Linked DNA regions of Callithrix jacchus. The protein of the gene in region 1 purifies or fractionates together with the protein of each later gene. This does not show direct contact. Links are inferred from orthologs where the notes say so. Each region holds a gene or a part of one and is shown on either strand. Other genes may lie near its edges.

The links. Proteins that work in one complex are often made in the same cells at the same time.
Region 2: the proteins of CCP110 (region 1) and CEP290 purify together in Homo sapiens (co-immunoprecipitation; 6 studies listed by BioGRID and IntAct, with this or other methods). This does not show direct contact. The link is inferred for Callithrix jacchus from reciprocal best matches to the Homo sapiens genes CCP110 and CEP290.
Region 3: the proteins of CCP110 (region 1) and CEP76 purify together in Homo sapiens (co-immunoprecipitation; 4 studies listed by BioGRID and IntAct, with this or other methods). This does not show direct contact. The link is inferred for Callithrix jacchus from reciprocal best matches to the Homo sapiens genes CCP110 and CEP76.

The regions. Positions count from the first base shown.
Region 1 is NC_133513.1:20,946,130-20,952,247, forward strand, and holds part of CCP110 (centriolar coiled-coil protein of 110 kDa), read left to right. Parts: intron 1-544; coding exon 545-2,192; intron 2,193-6,118.
Region 2 is NC_133510.1:93,051,742-93,057,859, forward strand, and holds part of CEP290 (centrosomal protein of 290 kDa), read left to right. Parts: intron 1-1,288; coding exon 1,289-1,358; intron 1,359-1,657; coding exon 1,658-1,704; intron 1,705-4,015; coding exon 4,016-4,159; intron 4,160-6,118. UniProt on the Homo sapiens protein: Involved in early and late steps in cilia formation. Its association with CCP110 is required for inhibition of primary cilia formation by CCP110.
Region 3 is NC_133514.1:49,820,882-49,826,741, forward strand, and holds part of CEP76 (centrosomal protein of 76 kDa), read left to right. Parts: intron 1-782; coding exon 783-1,116; intron 1,117-3,927; coding exon 3,928-4,145; intron 4,146-5,177; coding exon 5,178-5,316; 3' UTR 5,317-5,860. UniProt on the Homo sapiens protein: Centrosomal protein involved in regulation of centriole duplication. Required to limit centriole duplication to once per cell cycle by preventing centriole reduplication.

The sequences.
Region 1 (6,118 bases):
TTGGAGTAAGCATGTGGGTGCAGGAGTCTTATTACTGAATCATTTTTGTTTAATCAATGTCCTGGAGAAGTTTTTGCTAGAGGGGAGTTGTTTATGTAAGACATTTCATTACTTCCTGTTTATTGCATATATTATCATCCTTGGATGATAGCTATTTTAATGTTAATAACATATGACTGGAAGAAAGTTAAGGAAAGTGCTTCTATCCAAGATTAAATTGCACAGAGATATATGAATATCTCTCTGTGTGTGTGTGTGTGTGTGTGTGTGTATATATATACATATATATATGTTCATATTTGTATCAGATTAATTTTCTTTTTTTTCTTTAATGACTTAGGCTGGATGACCAGTAGTGTTTTTTCAATAATAATTTGAGCCCCATGTGACATAGGATACCATGGAAACCTGTCATCTTAGTGTTTGTTTATGTTTTGAAATGTCAGAACTCCAAATCTTCAATTTATTTTATTTTAGAAAACAGTGAAATCAGAGACTTTTTTGTGTGATAAGGAAATACTAACTTTTAAATTTCCTCTTTCAGGTTAGAAAAGCACCTAATGCCAGTGATTTTGATCAGTGGGAGATGGAAACGGTTTACTCTAATTCAGAAGTCAGAAACTTGAATGTTCCTGCTACATTTCCAAATAGCTTTCCAAGCCATACTGAACATTCTACTTCAGTAAACCTTGATAACATAGCCGGGATTTTGCCATTGGATAATGAGGACCAATGTAAAACTAATGGAATAGGCTTAGCTAGAGATTCAGAAGGATTTAATTCTCTGAAGCAATGTGATAATTCCAATATTAGTCATGTAGAAAGTGAAGCTTTTCCAAAGACCTCTTCAGCAACCCCACAAGAGACTCTTATTTCTGATGGTCTCTTCTCAATAAATGAATCACAGGATCCACTACTTTTGGCAGAAGTCACCCCAGATCCCTATGTAATGAGTCTTCAGAATCTGATGAAAAAGTCAAAGGAATATATAGAAAGAGAACAATCTAGACGCAATCTGAGAGGTAGTACAATGAGAATTGTTAATGAGAGTCATTCAGAGAAAGAAAATGATGCTGTTGAAGTGGCTGACTTTGTTAAAGAGAAGGCCCCGTTGACAGGCAAACACTGTGTCTCAGTTATTCCCGACAAACCAAGCCTTAATAAATCAAATGTTCTTCTCCAAGGTGCTTCTGCTCACGCAAGCAGCATGAGTACGCCAGTTTTAGCTAGCTTTTCGAAAGTGGACATACCTGTACGAACTGGTCATTCCACTGTTCTAGAATCTAATTCGGATTTTAAAGTTATTCCCACTTTTGTTACTGAAAATAATGTTATCAAAAGTCTTACAGGTTCCTATGCCAAATTACCTAGTCCAGAGCCAAGTATGAGTCCTAAAATGCATCGAAGGAATTCCAGGACATCATCAGCATGTCATATACTTATAAATAACCCGATAAATGCCTGTGAATTAAGCCCTAAAGGAAAAGAACAGGCAATGGACTTAATTGTTCATGATACTGATGAAAAAACAAATGTGCCCAAAATTGTGCCAAAGTTACCAATTGATTTCGCAAGCGTTTGTTCAAGCATGGCTTATGTAGGCAAAAATACATCTGAAGTCATAGAAGATATGGTTTTAGGTAAAACAAATCAGGTATGTCAATCTTCAGGAAATTATTTAGAAAATAAAGTTACTCATGGACTTGTTACTGTGGAAGGTCAGTTAACATCTGATGAGAGAGGTGCACACAAAATGAACAGTACCTGTGCTGCGATGCCAAAGCTGCATGAACCATATGCCAGCAGTCAGTGCATAGCAAGTCAAAACTCTGGAACTGTGAGTGGACTCAAGCCAGCCAGTATATCAGAGAAAAACTGCAGTTTACAAATGGAACTGAATAAGTCTTATGATGTAAAAAATCCTTCTCCTTTACTGATGCAAAACCAGAATACGAGACAGCAGATGGACACACCTACGGTGTCCCATGGAAATGAACCATTTTTGGATAACAGTTTTGAGAAAGTTAAACGGAGACTTGATTTAGATATTGATGATTTGCAAAAAGAAAACTGCCCTTATGTCATAACAAGTGGAATAACTGAACAAGAAAGGCAACATTTGCTAGAAAAAAGATACACCAAGGGACCTGTCTTCATTAACAAGAATAAAATGTTAGAAACCAGTTCCAAAGGTAAGGAATCCTTGAAGTGTTTTATACTGCAAATGATACCTTTATTTTAATACTCTTAACTGACATTTTTGGGGAAAAAAATGGTCTTTATTTATATGGGCACTTAATTTTATTTATCTTATTAGAAAGCATATAGTCAGCTACAGTTTATTGCCATTTGATAGACTTTCTTAAAAGATTTTCTTGAGACAAGGTCTGGCTCTGTCACCCCAGGTTGGAGTGAAGTGGCATGATCTCAGCTCACTTCAACCTCCGCCTCCTGGGCTCAAGCCATCCTCCCACCTCATCCTCTGAAGTAGCTGGGACTACAGGCTCATGCCACCATGCCTGACTAATTTTCATATTAGTCAGCGATGGTGTTTCCGCCATGTTGCCCAGGCTGGTCTGAAACTCGTGAGCTCAAGTGAGCATCCCGTCTTGGCCTCCCAAAGCTCTGGGATTACAGACATGAGCCACTGCACTGGGCCAGGATTTTCTTTTTTGAGACAGTCTGGCACAGTTGCCCAGGCTGGAGTGCAGTGGCGCAAGCTTGGCTAACTGCTATCTCTGCCTCCTGGTTCAAGCAATTCTCATGCCTCAGCCTCCTGAGTAGCTGGGATTACAGGCGTGCCTCGTTGGATTTTATTTAAATGATGAAGCTTTCATAGTCCACTTGGTATTACTGAGAATATTATTCATAACTGGAGGAAAGAGTTCCTTTTTTTTTTTTGAGATAGAGTCTTGCTCTGTTGCCAGGCTCTTAGTCCTTATTGGGATCTTAGCTCACTGCAATCCCTGCTTCTGGGTTCAAGTGATTTTTGTGCCTCAGCCTCCTGAGTAGCTGGGATTACAGGTGCGCACCACTGCACCCAGCCCAAAACAGTTCTTGCCTGAAACACACTTATAGTTTAATTCAGTGTATAACTATGAGGTCTTTCTTTTGGACTATGGTTTCTAATGTTTACTTCAGTTTGCTTTTTCATTTGTAGTGTGATCTTCATGTAGTTGGCCCTTCAGTAGACTCTTTAATGTCAAATTATTAGACGAAGTATCAGAAATAAGGCTCTGAGTAGTGGTTCAAGAATGGTTCTTTAGGCTGGGCACGGTGGCTTACGCCTGTAATCCCGACACTTTGGGAGGCTGAGGCAGGTGGATCACTTGAGGTCAGGAGTTCAGCCTGACGAACATGGTGAAACCCCATCTCTACTAAAAATACAAAAATTAGCTGGGCTTAATGGTGCATGTCTGTAATCCCAGCTACTTGGGAGACTGAGGCAGGAGAATTGCATGAACTCGGGAGGTGGAGGCTGCAGTGAGCTGCAATTGCACCATTGCACTCCAGCCTAGGCAGAGCCAGACTCCGTCTCAAAAAAAAAAAAAAAAAAGAATGCGTCTTTATTAATAAACATTATTTCAGTTTTTTCTGTTGTATCCATTAACAAGAATTTATGAAAGCATGTTTCTTTCCTTCATTACTCCTTACTTTGTTGTCATGGTTCATAATTTATTACTGATATAGAAGACATAAATCAAATAAATGAAGCTCTTAGGGCTTATGGGAAATACAGTGTTGGGTCAGACTGCTTAAAACCTGTGCAACTTTATTTTTTTTAATTAAAAAAAAATTTTTTTGAGATAGGGTCTTTGCTGTGTCGCCCGGGCTGGATTGCTTTCATGTGATCTCGGCTCACTGCAGGCCTGGGTTTAAGAGATTCTCCCACCTCAATCTTCCAAGTAGTTGGGATTTACAGGCATGCACCACCACACCCAGCTAATTTTTGTATTTTTTGTGGAGACAGGGTTTCACCATGTTGGCCAGGCTAGTCTTGAACTCCTAAGCTCAAGTGATCAGCCCTCCTTGGCCTCCCAAAGTGCTGGGATTACAGCTTTGAGCCATCAGTCCTGGCCTATCCTGTGCAACTTTATCAGAGCTCTAATAAAAACAACCACAGTTACCTGGGGAGCCAACTTGAATATTCTAAGTAGATAGCATAGCAAGGTTAGAGGCTGCCTCAGTGAATATCAGAAATACATAAGACTAACGGAGTGGAAATTTCTTTCATTTTTTTTTTTTTTTGGAGATGGAGTTTCGCTCTTGTTGCCCAGGCTAAAGTGCAATGGCGCAATCTTGGCTCACTACAGCCTCCACCTCCCAGGTTCAAGCAACTCTCCTGCCTCAGCCTCCCAAATAGCCGGGATTACAGACATGCACCACTAAGCCCAGCTAATATTTGTATTTTTAGTAGAGATGGGGTTTCACCATGTTAGTCAGGCTGGTCTTGAACTCCTGACCTCAAGTGATCCACCTGCCTCAGCCTCCCAAAGTGTTGAGATTACAGGCATGAGCCATCATTCCAAGCCTGGAGTGGCAATTTCTAGTAAGTGCTTTAATGCAAGATGAGCCTCCAGTCTTGGAGGCAGTCAGGTAGCTGTCAAAGTGGGCAAGGGAGACAGTGCCATGTGCTGAGAGCTGCCCTCAGCCTAGTGGGCCTTTTTGTAGAGTTTTTGAGATAGAGCTGAATGGACTCCTGTTGACTGAGCACTTGAGTTGAGGGGCTTTTTCCTTTCTTGCTGAAGGTTTTAATTCTACTTTTCAGCTTCCCTTGCCTATGAAAAGCTACATATAAACAAATGCAGGCTGGGCATGGTGGCTTATACCTACAATCCTAGCACTTTGTGAGGCCATGGCAGGAGGATCACTTGAGGCCAAGAGTTCAAAAGCAGCCTGGGCAGTATGGCAAGACCCCATCTCTGCAAAATATACAAAAATTAGCCTGGTGTGCTGGCATGTGCCTGTAGTCCCAGCTACTCTGGAGGCTGAGGTGGGAGGATCATATGAGCCCTAGAGTTTGAGTCTGCAGTGAGCCGTGTTGGCACTACTGCACTCTAGCCTGGGCAACAGAGCAAGACTAGATCTTAAAAAAAAAAAAAAAAAAATTAAAAAATCATATTGTTGTAGTTGAATAAGATGTTTTTAGGAACAAATTATGGGAAGACTGTAGCAGTAGGACAGTAGTACATAAGATACTTTAGGGAAAATCATTGACTGTATATTTGGGAAGAATGATTTGTTGAATTTAGCTGAATTATAATGGATCCATGAATATATACTTGCTATATATACATACTTGGTATTTCTTTTCTTTTTTTTTTTTGAGACGAAGTCTCACTCTGTCACCAGGCTGGAGTGCAGTGGCACAATCTTGGCTCACTGCAACCTCCATCTCATGGGTTCAAGCGATTCTCCTGCCTCAGCCTCCCAAGTAGCTGGGACCACAGGCACGCACCACCACTCCCAAATTTTTGTATTTTTAGTAGAGACGGGGTTTCACCATGTTGGCCAGGATGGTCTCAATCACCTCATGATTCGCCCATCTCGGCCTCCCAAAGTGCTGGGATTACAGCTGTGAGTCACAGCACCCAGTTCATACTTGGTAGTTCTACATTTCAACATGTCTTACCACATTCTATTTAGTAAGATTGCATTGTCATAATGTTTTCTCTTAAAATTTTTAGTTAGTAACTAAAATATCTGGAATTCTAATGTACAGTCCTTTTTGAAACCTCAAGCTGAGAAAGCTTTATACCATCAAAGAAACATTGACTTTGAAAATCAAAACAAGGCAAAACTACAAGCTACAATACTAGAGATCCTGGAGGACAAGTGTCAAAAGAATAAATGATGGTAGGATACAGTTGAAACCATCTGAAAGTTAAGTAGAGTCAGGAGAATCTTGTCTGAATGTATAGTAGTGGCTCTATCATTTCAGATCAGGATGGGATCTGTTGAATGAGTGGGTAAAGGTGATGCCATACAGGTTTTACTTTATTGTGTAGCATGAAATAAAAGGAGTGGAAAATGTGAATGTGGTTCAAAGTAGAGACCCAGCTATAACTTGATTTTATTATGTCAGATCCAGGAATACTTTCTTGTTGGAAGGGTAACT
Region 2 (6,118 bases), on another chromosome or scaffold:
CTTGATAATATCTACATCACCATTCAAAAATGCAATATATTTAAATGTGGCTTAAGAATTGTAGTGTGTAAAACGTTGCTAGTTTTTACTTAAAGTTTCTAAAAGGGTGTGTAGGGGAAACAGAATGAGTATATTGAAAAATTATATAGGGAGATATATCCTGAGGTCCAAATGACAAATGCAGACAATGGCTGTCTATAGGGATTTGTTAAGAGGGGAAGTGATTTAAGAGGTGTTGGAAAACTTTGCAAAGGATGAAGACTGAGGAGTAGTTTTAGTTAAGTGGAAGGCAATGCAGTGGTAAGATAGTAAGGGAATTCTAGAGCTGTTGGTTACCATAAGTAAATATTGAGAATAGGAAATATGCATATTCTTTACGTTTGAGAAGACAAGGTGCAGCAAGTTTGTAGCAGGCTGTAGAGAAAACAAATCTTGGGTAGGTACTTTGATAGAGACTGTTGAGGGCCTTAAAGATATAGTTTATGCTACCAGCAATTGAGAAGGCAATAAAGGTTTCTGAACCACAGTTGATAGGTACAAAAATATGCCTTAGGAAGGCAAAACAATATATAATATATGACAAATAGAAGGATTACTGGAGCTATATAGACATCACATTATAGAGGAGTTTAAACATGAAATTATGTGTTAGAATAATAACAATTGGAACAGAAAAAAAGTAGTGAAAAAAATTACAAAGGGAGATGTTGTATTACTGGATGTAAGACTTAAGACTTGAGGTAAAAGGGAGAATCAAAAATATTTCATGCTATTAAAAATAGAAATTATAATCTTAAGTAAGAAAGTAAGAAAGTTGCCTGGATTACTGCCTCACGTCCGTAATCCCAGCACTTTGGGTTGCTAAGGCAGGAGAATTGCTTGAGCCTAGGAGTTTGAGACTGGCCTGCATAATACGGCGAATAATACAGTGAGACTTTGTCTCTACGAAAAAATTTAAAGTCTTGCTGATCATGGTGGTATGCACCTGTAGTCCCAGCTACTCAGGAGACTGAAGTGGGAAGTTTGCTTGAGCCTAGGAGGCAGAGGTTGCAGTGAGCTGAGATTGTGTCGCTGCACTCCAGCCTGGGTGACAAAGTGAGGCCCTGTCTCAAAAAAAAAAAAAAAAAAAAAGAAAGAAAAATTATGTATTTATTTAACAAATATTTACTGAAAATCGCCATGTGCCCCCCATTGCTGACACTAAGAATCATAATAAATACAATTTTTGTTTTCAGTGCTTACATTCTAGTACAAAGGCATATTGAAATAACCTTTTTTTAATGTTTAGATGAAAGCTCAAGAAGTAGAGCTGGCTTTGGAAGAAGTAGAAAAAGCTGGAGAAGAACAAGCAAAATTTGGTAAGCAACTTGGAAAAAAGTTTATGGTATTAAATAATAAATTCCATGTGTTCATTAAGCTGTAGAAAATCAAATTTATTCTATAAGATGTATATAGTTTATTTTTAATATATAACATTTACTTAATAATAAGCAATTCTAGACTCCTATTTTATGGATCTGCCATATAATTCTTTTTGATACCTTATAGTCATGATGGAGTCTTTTAAAAGAATTAATTTTGTTATTTAAATTTATTTAAAAGTTTGTTTTGTGGTAGCTAATGTATGAAAACATTTGTCTTTTTTTTTAAAAAACAGAAAATCAATTAAAAACTAAAGTAATGAAACTGGAAAATGAACTGGAGGTATGTCTTTTTGTATTTCCTAGAATGTAATTGTCATAAATTTTATTTTGCATTGTTTTCAAATTTTAAAATTATTATTGGCTGGAAAAGTTATAAGGATGATAGTAATCATGGTTATTTGCTTTTTCAGTATATATTCTCGGATTGAGCATACAGTTGTGAATGAAATTAAAACAGTTAACTGCTATATGGAGCTTGCAGTCTTGGGAAATACATAGAAAGCTTACTAGTAACTGAGGTGGAGCGTGGGTGGGGAGTTGGGGAATAATGACCAAAGGGTTTTATAGAAGTAATTTTTTACAAAGCTGAGGGCTAAAGTATGAATGTATTGTTGAGGAACTAAATTCAGATTCCTGAAAAGGTAGGGATGGATCAGCTTTTGAAACGGATCAGCCTTTGAAAGAAGGAATACCCTTTTCCTTGTGTTAGGAGAGAAGGAAGAGTAGATGAGGGGAGGAACAGTAGATGTATGTAGAAGCCTTTATGTTTGTAGGCATAGTGCCTGGAAGTTGAGAGGTCAGTGATGATGTCATCTGTTAGAAAGAGTGGGAGATGGTGTGGTCACATTTTAAGAAAATCAGATAAAATTTGAAATGTAATGGAGAAAAGACTGGAGAGTTGGGGATCTGGAGTCAGACAGATTTGAGTTCTAGTCCTGATTCTTTTATTTGTTAATTCTCTGAACTTGGATGACTTGTTATTTTGATTGTATATCCAGCTCCTGGAAAAATGCCAAGTACTTTCAATAAATACTCATTAAATGAATTATGGAGTTGAATCAATTCTGTGTTAATGTTTAGATAGGCACCTGCTATACAATAGAAGAGTAAGACAGTTTTGAAGATATTGGTAGGAAAGTGGTTGAAGTGGTGATTATGAAGTCTCAACTGAATAGATAAGAAAGTCAAGATTGGGGTTGGGTGGGCAGAAGGGTAGGGATAAGGAGTGAGAAGTCGAGGGATTAGTGTCCTGTGAGGTCAAAGGACAGGCATAGTGGGAATAATTGAAAGAATGTTTCTGATTGGACAAGGATTTGATGTTGGTGTGTCAGTGAGAGATGATAGTGAATTCAAGAAACAAGAAAAAAAAAATAGACTAGAACAAAAGTTATGTGGAAATTGCTTGGGGATTTGATGAACGTCTGTGAGGCACATGCTTAAATTCCCAGTACATTTTGCAGAGTCACTGGGAAGTTGGTGGTTTGCTGCTACCATGAGTAGGTAAAGATGGAGAGCTGGATATCTTGTGAGAAAGCAGCTGAGGTTTTCATAGGATGATGGAGGAATGATAGGAATGATCACGTGAAGTTGCAGGGTAGAGTAAACCTAGAAGTACCAACACCTCCTCCTGACCCTAATGTATATGGGCTGTGAAAGAATGAGCACCTTCCAACTGAAAGAGTTCCAAGGGCATTAGTATCCTAAAGGATCCAAATTGCAGCTAAGGCAAGGAGATGGAAAGGATGATTCAGTAAATAATCTGAGGTTGTGAAATATTTATCTTGGAAGAAGACTTTAGCACAGGGAATGCTTTTTGAAGGAGAGAAAGAGTGTGAAAAATTTGGTTAAGGTAGAGGAAAAACAGAACTATAAGGTGAAGAGATAAATGTGAGACAGGTTAGATGACCAAATGATTTGATGTTCTGGGACATGACCTAAATTAACAAGAATATGAAATAAAATGGATTTAGTTGGCTACAAATCTTAAAGATAAATGAAACCTGAGTTGTTCAGTAAAGTGGCACTAACACTAGCTATTTATATTTCTATTTGTTAAAATTAAAATGAAAAATTTAGTTCTTCAGTTACAGTAGCTACACTTCAAATACCCAAACATAGCTACATGTAACAAGTGGCTACTGAACTGAACAGCAGAGAGAGCATGTCTATTATCCTAGAAAGTCCTGTTGGGCAGCACTGGTCTAAATAGTGCATGATATGAGAGAAAGGGCAGGTTAAGGCACTAAACTTCACTAACAGCGACGGAGTTTCTCATGGTTCGTACACGGGTTCCAGATCTCTGCGGCTTAGGACCTTTGCCTTTAGTCTGCTACCTGTTGGCCAGTGGTTACAACAGAATGATTAACAGTCAATTCTTTGTAGCTCTGGGTGGCTCAGGAGAAGTTTAAAGACTTACTAGCTGTGAACTAACGCTTAGGTAAGTTAAATTAAAAAAAAAAGATTCTTAATATGATTTTAAATATCTGCACTGAAATATAATGAAAATTTAAAGTCAAGATAAGTTGCTTATTGTTGAATCATTTGAACTTCAAAATATAATATAATTTATACTTTGGGTTTATTACTTTGAGATGGCTCAGCGGTCTGCAGGTGGTCGGGATACTCGGTTTTTACGTGATGAAATTCGCCAACTTGAAAAGCAATTAGAACGAAAAGATAGAGAATTGGAGGACATGGAAAAGGAGTTGGAGAAAGAGAAGAAAGTTAATGAGCAAGTAAAGCACTTTTTTTTCCATGAATCTTCACTGTTCAAGTTACCTGGCTTTTTATAATTATTGGTAACAATATCAATTTTTGTATTGTATGTTATATTTGAGGAATGATGTACACTTATAAGATTTTATAACACTGTTCATTTTGTCATCACAAATTTTAAAATATAATGGAACAGGTACTTTTAGTGAATATGACTTGAAGATTAATTCTTTATATTTGGAGGTACATTTTTCTCAGGATATATCACACTTACTACCTAAAATTGATGCTTTTGTCTGGAAGATTAGTGTCAAGAAACTAATAGACTTGCATAAAGAAGTGATCTTAGTATCATAGTTTATTTTGCATAAAAGTTATATTTGTTTATTTCAATGTATTTATATGATTAGTAGATTTGGAAATGAATCTTTTGATGATACATTCAATAATGTTTAATTAAATTTCTTGTTTTTGGTTGTATCCTTATATATGAGATATATATATATTGTTTTTGAAAAGTGTTAATCTCAACATTTTATCAATGATATTTAAAATAACATGTTTAATACATAGTTTTTATTAACTCATGTTATTCCTTGTTGTAAACTAATAATTTTTGCAGTGTTCCCTGGGATTTAGTTTTGGAAAAAAAGTTTTTTGCAGGTAAATTTGTATTTTCTTGAAGAAAATTTCCTATTTTACCTCAGCTTCTTATTTAATGTTTTATTTATTTATTAACATTTCTATTTAACACTTACTTGTTTTTTATTTCACCTCAGCTATTAGTAAACTTAGTAAAATTTGGTGCCTACATGTGGTAACTGTCCTGTCTCTTATACTCAGAAACATTTTTTACCTTTGTGTCCTTTAAGTCATTATTATGTTATATTCTGTTTATTTCATTTTGTTCATTATTCTCTCAGAAATAGAGGGTCATACATTTTAAGAAAACAGTGATATGCTATTTAAGAGAATCAATCTCACTTGAGACCCAGAGTTCAAAACCAGCCTGGCCAACATGGCAAAAACCCCATCTCCACTAAAAATACAAAAAAAATTAGTCGAACCTAGTGGGGAGTGCCTGTAATCCCAGCTAGTTGGGTAGTTGAGGCAGAAGAGTTGCTCGAACCCAGGAGGCAAGAGGTTGCAGTGAGCCGAGATTGCACCACTGCACTCCAGCCTGGGCAACAGAAATGAGACTCTGTCTCAAACAACAATAATAATAAGAGCATCTATCATAAATTGATTTTTAAGGGAAACTATTCCTTACAAATTTCTTACATGTATCTATTTTACTCCAAAATTTTAAAGAACCATATAAAAGCTATCAAAACAACGTGGTAGAGAAAGTATGGATTGATGCCACTTAAATGTTAAGAACAAGTTCTTAGAGCATTGTCTGGTTAGTTAACTCTGCAAAACATAACAGACATGTGGATTTTTTAATAGTTATAAAGGATCTAACTTATGATATTCACTGGTAGAATTGCCTAGGGGAATGCCTGTGGTTTTCTTGACTTTTATTCTTCTCTTTAGGCCTGTATCAGTTGACTTATCATTCATACCACACACTCTTAGCTAATCAGAACTACCTTGTCCATTTATATCTTAGACTATTATCTTTACTCATAGTTTCACACAGAGAAAACTTAAATATATGGCCTGTGTTCCTTTTCGGCTGCTAAGTTCCTTGAGATGAAATACGGATATAGTTGCTTTGGTAATTACTTCTTTGCCCTTAACCAGTCATTGAGTTTTAGTGAGTCTTTACAGCATACCAGAGACTGTGCTAGTTGCTAGTGATATAGTGGGCAACTATGTTCTGCTTCTCAAGGATATTTACAGTCAATAATAAGCATAACATAGTGATAATATGTTACTTAGGAAGATATATCAGGACATATTCTGGGATACTCTGGAGAGGGATGCCATAATCAGTCTTAAGGTTCAGGATGTGATCTGTGAACTGAGACCTGAAG
Region 3 (5,860 bases), on another chromosome or scaffold:
CTTTCTTATCATTGTCTTTGAATATTCATTATTCCTCTCTGGCTGTTCTCAGTTTTCCTTCTTCTTGTCTTTAAATGTTATGTGTTCTAGAGGCCCAGCCCTGAGCCCGCTTTTCATTTCCCTGAGTCTTCTGTCTCTCTGGTTGATAATCATGCCTAATAATGCTTTGGTTAGTCATGCCTAATAATGCATAGCCAGATTGTTTTAATTGTGTTATCTGAGGCAATTTTTTTTTTTTTTTTTTTTTGAGATGGAGTTTCACTCTTATTGCTCAGGCTGGAGTGCAATGGCGCCATCTCGGCTCAATGCAACCTCCACCTCCTGGGTTCAAGTAATTCTGCCTCAGCCTCCCGAGTAGCTGAGACTATGGGTGCATGCCACAACACTTGGCTAATTTTTGTATTTTTAGTAGAGATGGGATTTCACCATGTTGGTCAGACTGGTCTTGAACTCCTGACCTCAGGTGATCCACTTGTCTCAGCCTCCTAAAGTGCTGGGATTACAGGCATGAGCCCCACCGCACCTGGCCTTTCATCTTAACAATATACATAGGATATATTCTGTTGTTAAAGGAGTAGAGTTGGTTTCATTATTATGAGATGTACCATACAATTAATTAATACAGGGTAATCAAATTGTGGAAATAGGAAAAGGAAAAACGAGTATTAAACTCTAATTCTGAGAAGTAGTTATGGCCTTAAGTGTTAGAATAATTTCCTCAGTAAAATGCTGCCTTCTTAATTTTTAAGTTCTCATATATAAAATCATTTAATTTTTTTTAGGTACATCCATAAACCTGCCAGTCCTGATGAACCTCCAGTTGCTGAACAGCCCAAACCATTGTACCCATATCGAACAATTGGTTGTGTTTTCAACCATCAAATGTTCCTGGGAAATTGTCAACCCTCTGATGCAGTAGAAACCTGTGTATTTGATTTGAATGATGAATCCAAATGGAAACCCATGAGTGAGGAAGCAATTAAATCCGTGTGTGCTCCTGGAGCTACAACGTCCCTTCCTCCCTTTCCACCTCTGTGTGCATCCACAATTGATGCGTCAGTAACCAGTAATGAAATTGAAATGCAACTGAGGCTCCTAGTATCAGAACACAGGAAGGTAATTCACACTGAAATAGTTGTAGTTTCATACTTTTTTCATTTCTTTATGTATTTAACTATTTTTTTGGTGTGCGTGATAGTGCCAGTCGGTATTCTAGCCCCAAACAAAGCAACTACAGTCCCTACTATTAACATTGTAATTTTGAAAGTCATGAGAGTTCAAGTTCTAAGACTCAGAAATCTCCAAATTCATTAATGCTTATAGAATGTATTACTTCCTTCTAGAAATGAAGGTTCAAGCAATTCTTCTGCCTCACCCTTCTGAGTAACTGGGATTATAGACGTGCCACCATGCCCGGCCAATTTTTGTATTTTTGTAGAGATGGGGTTTCACCATATTGGTCAGGCTGGTCTTGAACTCCTGACCTCAAGTGATCCACCCTCCTCAGCCTCCCAAAGTGCTGGGATTACAGTCTTGAGCCACTGCATCCAGCCAGATCAAGCCTCTTGTCTAATAGCATGTAGATTTCCTTTGTAAAGTACCTTAAGGAACACATAAAAAGTATTAGTCATAAGGAAAAGATTAATATATTTTACAGACAAGTTCATCAAAAGAAAACATTAAGAGATTGAAGCTGTGGAGTGGGAAAAGTTATTTGTAATACATATTACCATGAAAAGACTAGAATCCAAAATTCCTACAAAAGGTTTATTTCTGATTCACCTTTTGGGGTTCCTTATTCCACTCTCTACCGTGGGTGTTTTCTGTGTTCTTTGAGGCTGTCAAAGGCAAACTGATTTATCAAACATGTTCTCTGGGTTCCCAGTTACTCTTAGCTTTGGCCTCTAATATATTCCTTATTCAGGCTAGGCACGGTGGCTAATGCCTGTAATCCCAGCACTTTGGGAGGCTGAGGTGGGCAATTCACCTGAGGTTGGGAGTTTGAGACCAGCCTGACCAACATGGAGAAACCCTGTCTCTACTAAAAAATATAAAATTAGCTGGGCATGGTGGCACATGCCTGTAATTTCAGCTACTCGGCAGGCTGAGGCAGGAGAATTGCTTGACCCCAGGAATTGGAGGTGCGGTGAGCCAAGATCATGCCATTGTACTCCAGCCTGGCCAAGAAGAGCAAAACTTCGTCTTAAAAAAATGTGTGTGTGTGTGTGTACATATTCCTTATTTGCTTGTCAACTCATCAAAGCATTTAAATGTATATTTTGGAAAATCTGGAGTTTGTAGTGTGTTTTTAAGCAAGAGTTGATCAGGAGACCTCTGGTCCATTATATTGCTGGAGATGAAAGCCCCTTATTACTTTCTCTTTCCTTCCATCACTTGTATTACCTTTAGCTTTCTTTTCTTAGGTTCTGCTTATAAATAAAAGCAATATTTTATTTTATAATAATTACTTTTGGCCAGGCACAGTATCTCACACCTGTAATCCCAGCAGTTTGGGAGCCTGAGATGGTTGGATCACTTGAGCTCAGGAGTTCAAGACCAGCCTGGGTGAGAATCCATCTCTACAAAAAAATACAAAAATTTAGCCGGGCATCGTGTCACATGCCTATAGTCCCAGCTACTTGGATGCTAAGGTGAAAGGATCAGTTTAACTGGGGAGGCAGAAGTTGTAGTAAGCTGAGATGATACCACTGCACTCTAGTCTGGGTGACAGGGTAAGACCCTGTCTCAAAAAAAAAAGGAATTACTGTTTATAGAAAAAGAAAATAAAGCTGTGATAGATGCCAGTGTTGATCACTACTTAAGGGTGCCTATAAATCAGCAAAGGTTCACATTTTGCCACGGGAAAAGCATTGTTAATCATGGACCTTTGAGATCATTTGTGACAAGTTACCTTGAATGTAAAATAAGGAAATGCCAAACATCTATTATGATAATCAAAATATCTAGAATTTGGAGAATTTTTTATATTTGTAACAATATTATTTTTAACTTCTTGTGTCTAGATAGCAATAGGTCATTTGGTGTTATAAATGGAATCATGGGCTGGGCTCAGTGGCTCACACCTGTAAATCCTAGCACTTTGGGAGGCCAAGGTGGGTGGAACACTTGAGGTCAGAAGTTTGACATCAGCCTGGCCAACACGGTGAAACCCTGTCTTTACTAAAAATACAAAAATTGGTTGGGCTTGCTGGCGGGTACCTGTAATCCTAGCAACTCCTGAGGGTGAGGCAGGAGAATCGCTTGAACCTGGGAGGCAGAAGTTGCAGTGAGCCAAGATCGCACCACTGCACTCCAGCCTGGGCAACAGAGTAAGACTCTGTCTCAAAAAATTAAAAAAAAAAAAAATGGAATCATGTTGTTTTTAACATTCTATAGAAATATGTTTTAAGCCCCCTAGGGGCCTATAACATGTCTTCATCTTTTTATCTCTTACACTAAGTTTTATAGAGTACATGTTCAGTAAATATTTGTTTAATTACATATAGGATTCATTTGCTGACTTTGCTCCCCTCTGCAGTTGAGTTTATGGTAGGAACAGTCAGTCTTTAGTAAACAGATTCAATCTTAATAAACTCTTTAAGTAAAATATCTCAAAATTCACTAACACTCCATATTAGGACTGTTTCATACAGTATTTTCTAGTAGATATTAAAGAAGTACAGGATTTGGAGCCTTCATGAAACATCACTGTTTCGAATGTTTGGTTTTTCTGAGAAGTAAAATCTGATCACCTATAGTTTCTTTTATCTGACTTTTATTTCTATGCATCTTTGTAATTATGAAAATATTATGATAGCTTTTAAAAATCTTTTCTTGGTATACATTAAAATAATCAACATTTTTATTTAGCTGGTTTTAAAAATATTAATGTATTTCATTTTTTCTTTTTCTCTTGATTGCTTATAGGACCTTGGTCTCACTACTGTTTGGGAAGACCAGCTGTCCTATCTTCTTTCACCAGCTTTGGCTTCTTATGAATTTGAGCGTACAACAAGTATATCAGCAGGCAATGAAGAATTTCAAGATGCCATAAGAAGGGCTGTACCTGATGGTCATACATTTAAAGGGTTCCCAATACATTTTGTGTATAGAAATGCAAGACGTGCATTTGCCACATGTCTTCGGTAAGATGTAATTTGTGGAATCAGGTTTTCAGTTTAGGAATCTTAGAGATCAGTCTGATAGGGGTTTTTTATTTCCTTTTTTTTTTTCAAAGTCAAGGTCTCACTGTGCTGTCCACACTGGAGTACAGTGGCACATTTATGGTTCACTGCAGCCTTGACTTCCCGGGCCCGTGAAAGGCCTTCCACCTCACCCTCCCAAGCAACTGGGGCCACAGGCATGCACCATCATACTTGGCTATTTTTTTTCTTTATTTTGTAGAGATGGGGGTCTTCCTGTGTTGCCCAGGCTGGTATTGAAATTCCTGGGCTCAAGCAGTCTTCCCACTTTGTCCTCCTAAAGTGCTGGGATTACAGGTATGAGCCATTGTACCTGGCCTAATCTGGTAGTTATTTAGGAATGACATCAGAGTCACATGGGATCTTTTACAATGACTTACCCTCCTTGCCACAGATTTTGATTCATTAGGTCTGAAATGTAGCCCTAGATAGTCTGGGATTATTTTCTCAGTGATTTTGGTACAGTCTCAGTCAGGTATCTCTGATTTTGTTTGGACAATATGGAAATAGTCTATGATTTGAATAGCTTGACCAAAATTACAGTGTCTTTGATAGCATTGACAGAATTTGAAAAAATTATTTTATTTATTATTCATTTTTGAGATGGAGTCTCAGTCTGTTGCCTAGGCTGGAGTACAGTGGCACAATCTTGGCTCATCACAACCTCCGCCTCCCGGGTTCAAGAGATTCTTCTGTCTCAGCCTCCCAAGTAGCTGGGATTACAGGTGCCTGCCACCACACCTGGCTAATTTTTGTAATTTTTAGTAGAGACGGGTTTCACCATGTTGGCCAAGCTTGTCTTGAACTCCTGACCTCAGATGATCCACCTGCCTCAGCCTTCCAAAATTCTGGGATTACAGGCATGAACCACCTTCCCTAGCCTGAAAAAATTATTTTAAATATTGATTTACTTGGAAATAAAAAAGTGAGGTGCATGGTCACTTCTTAATTGAATATATATTTTTTCTTAAATAGATCTCCTTTCTGTGAAGAAATAATCTGTTGCCGTGGAGACCAAGTGCGACTGGCAGTTCGTGTCCGAGTGTTTACTTACCCTGAATCTGCATGTGCTGTTTGGATCATGTTTGCTTGTAAATATCGCTCGGTATTATAGGGCCAACATTTCTATAAGAATTATACCTGTGTTTAATTGGAATTTTACACATTGTACATTATTTAGCTATTTAGAGGTTTGTTATTTTAAAATCACAATCTGGCTTGAATGACGTATTTCAATTTTGTATATACTTGACTGGTAATGTTTAGAAAAATCATGTTGTGTTCCTTTAAAAATTAAGGGTGAAAAATTTCTATAAATCACCCTGGAATTTAGTATAAATTAAGTGTATATTTTAATAAATGCTACTTTGTTTACAGGTATCAGTAGTTTAAATATTAATATAAAATGCACTTAGTTTTCTTTACACTAAAAAGTAATCGAAGAGATGTCTAAGGGTTTAAGCCCTAGAAAAATCGATATGATCATGATTTTTCATAGATTAATGGGATTATTTTATACAAATTAGGAGAAATTAACCTCATGACAGATTTAGTTATTGCATTTGTGAAAATAAATGTTGATGAATTGCCACATTTGTGGTTTATTCCTGGCCCTTGTGATATTTGAGACAGCCCAGAAATTTATGGTCAGACCTTGA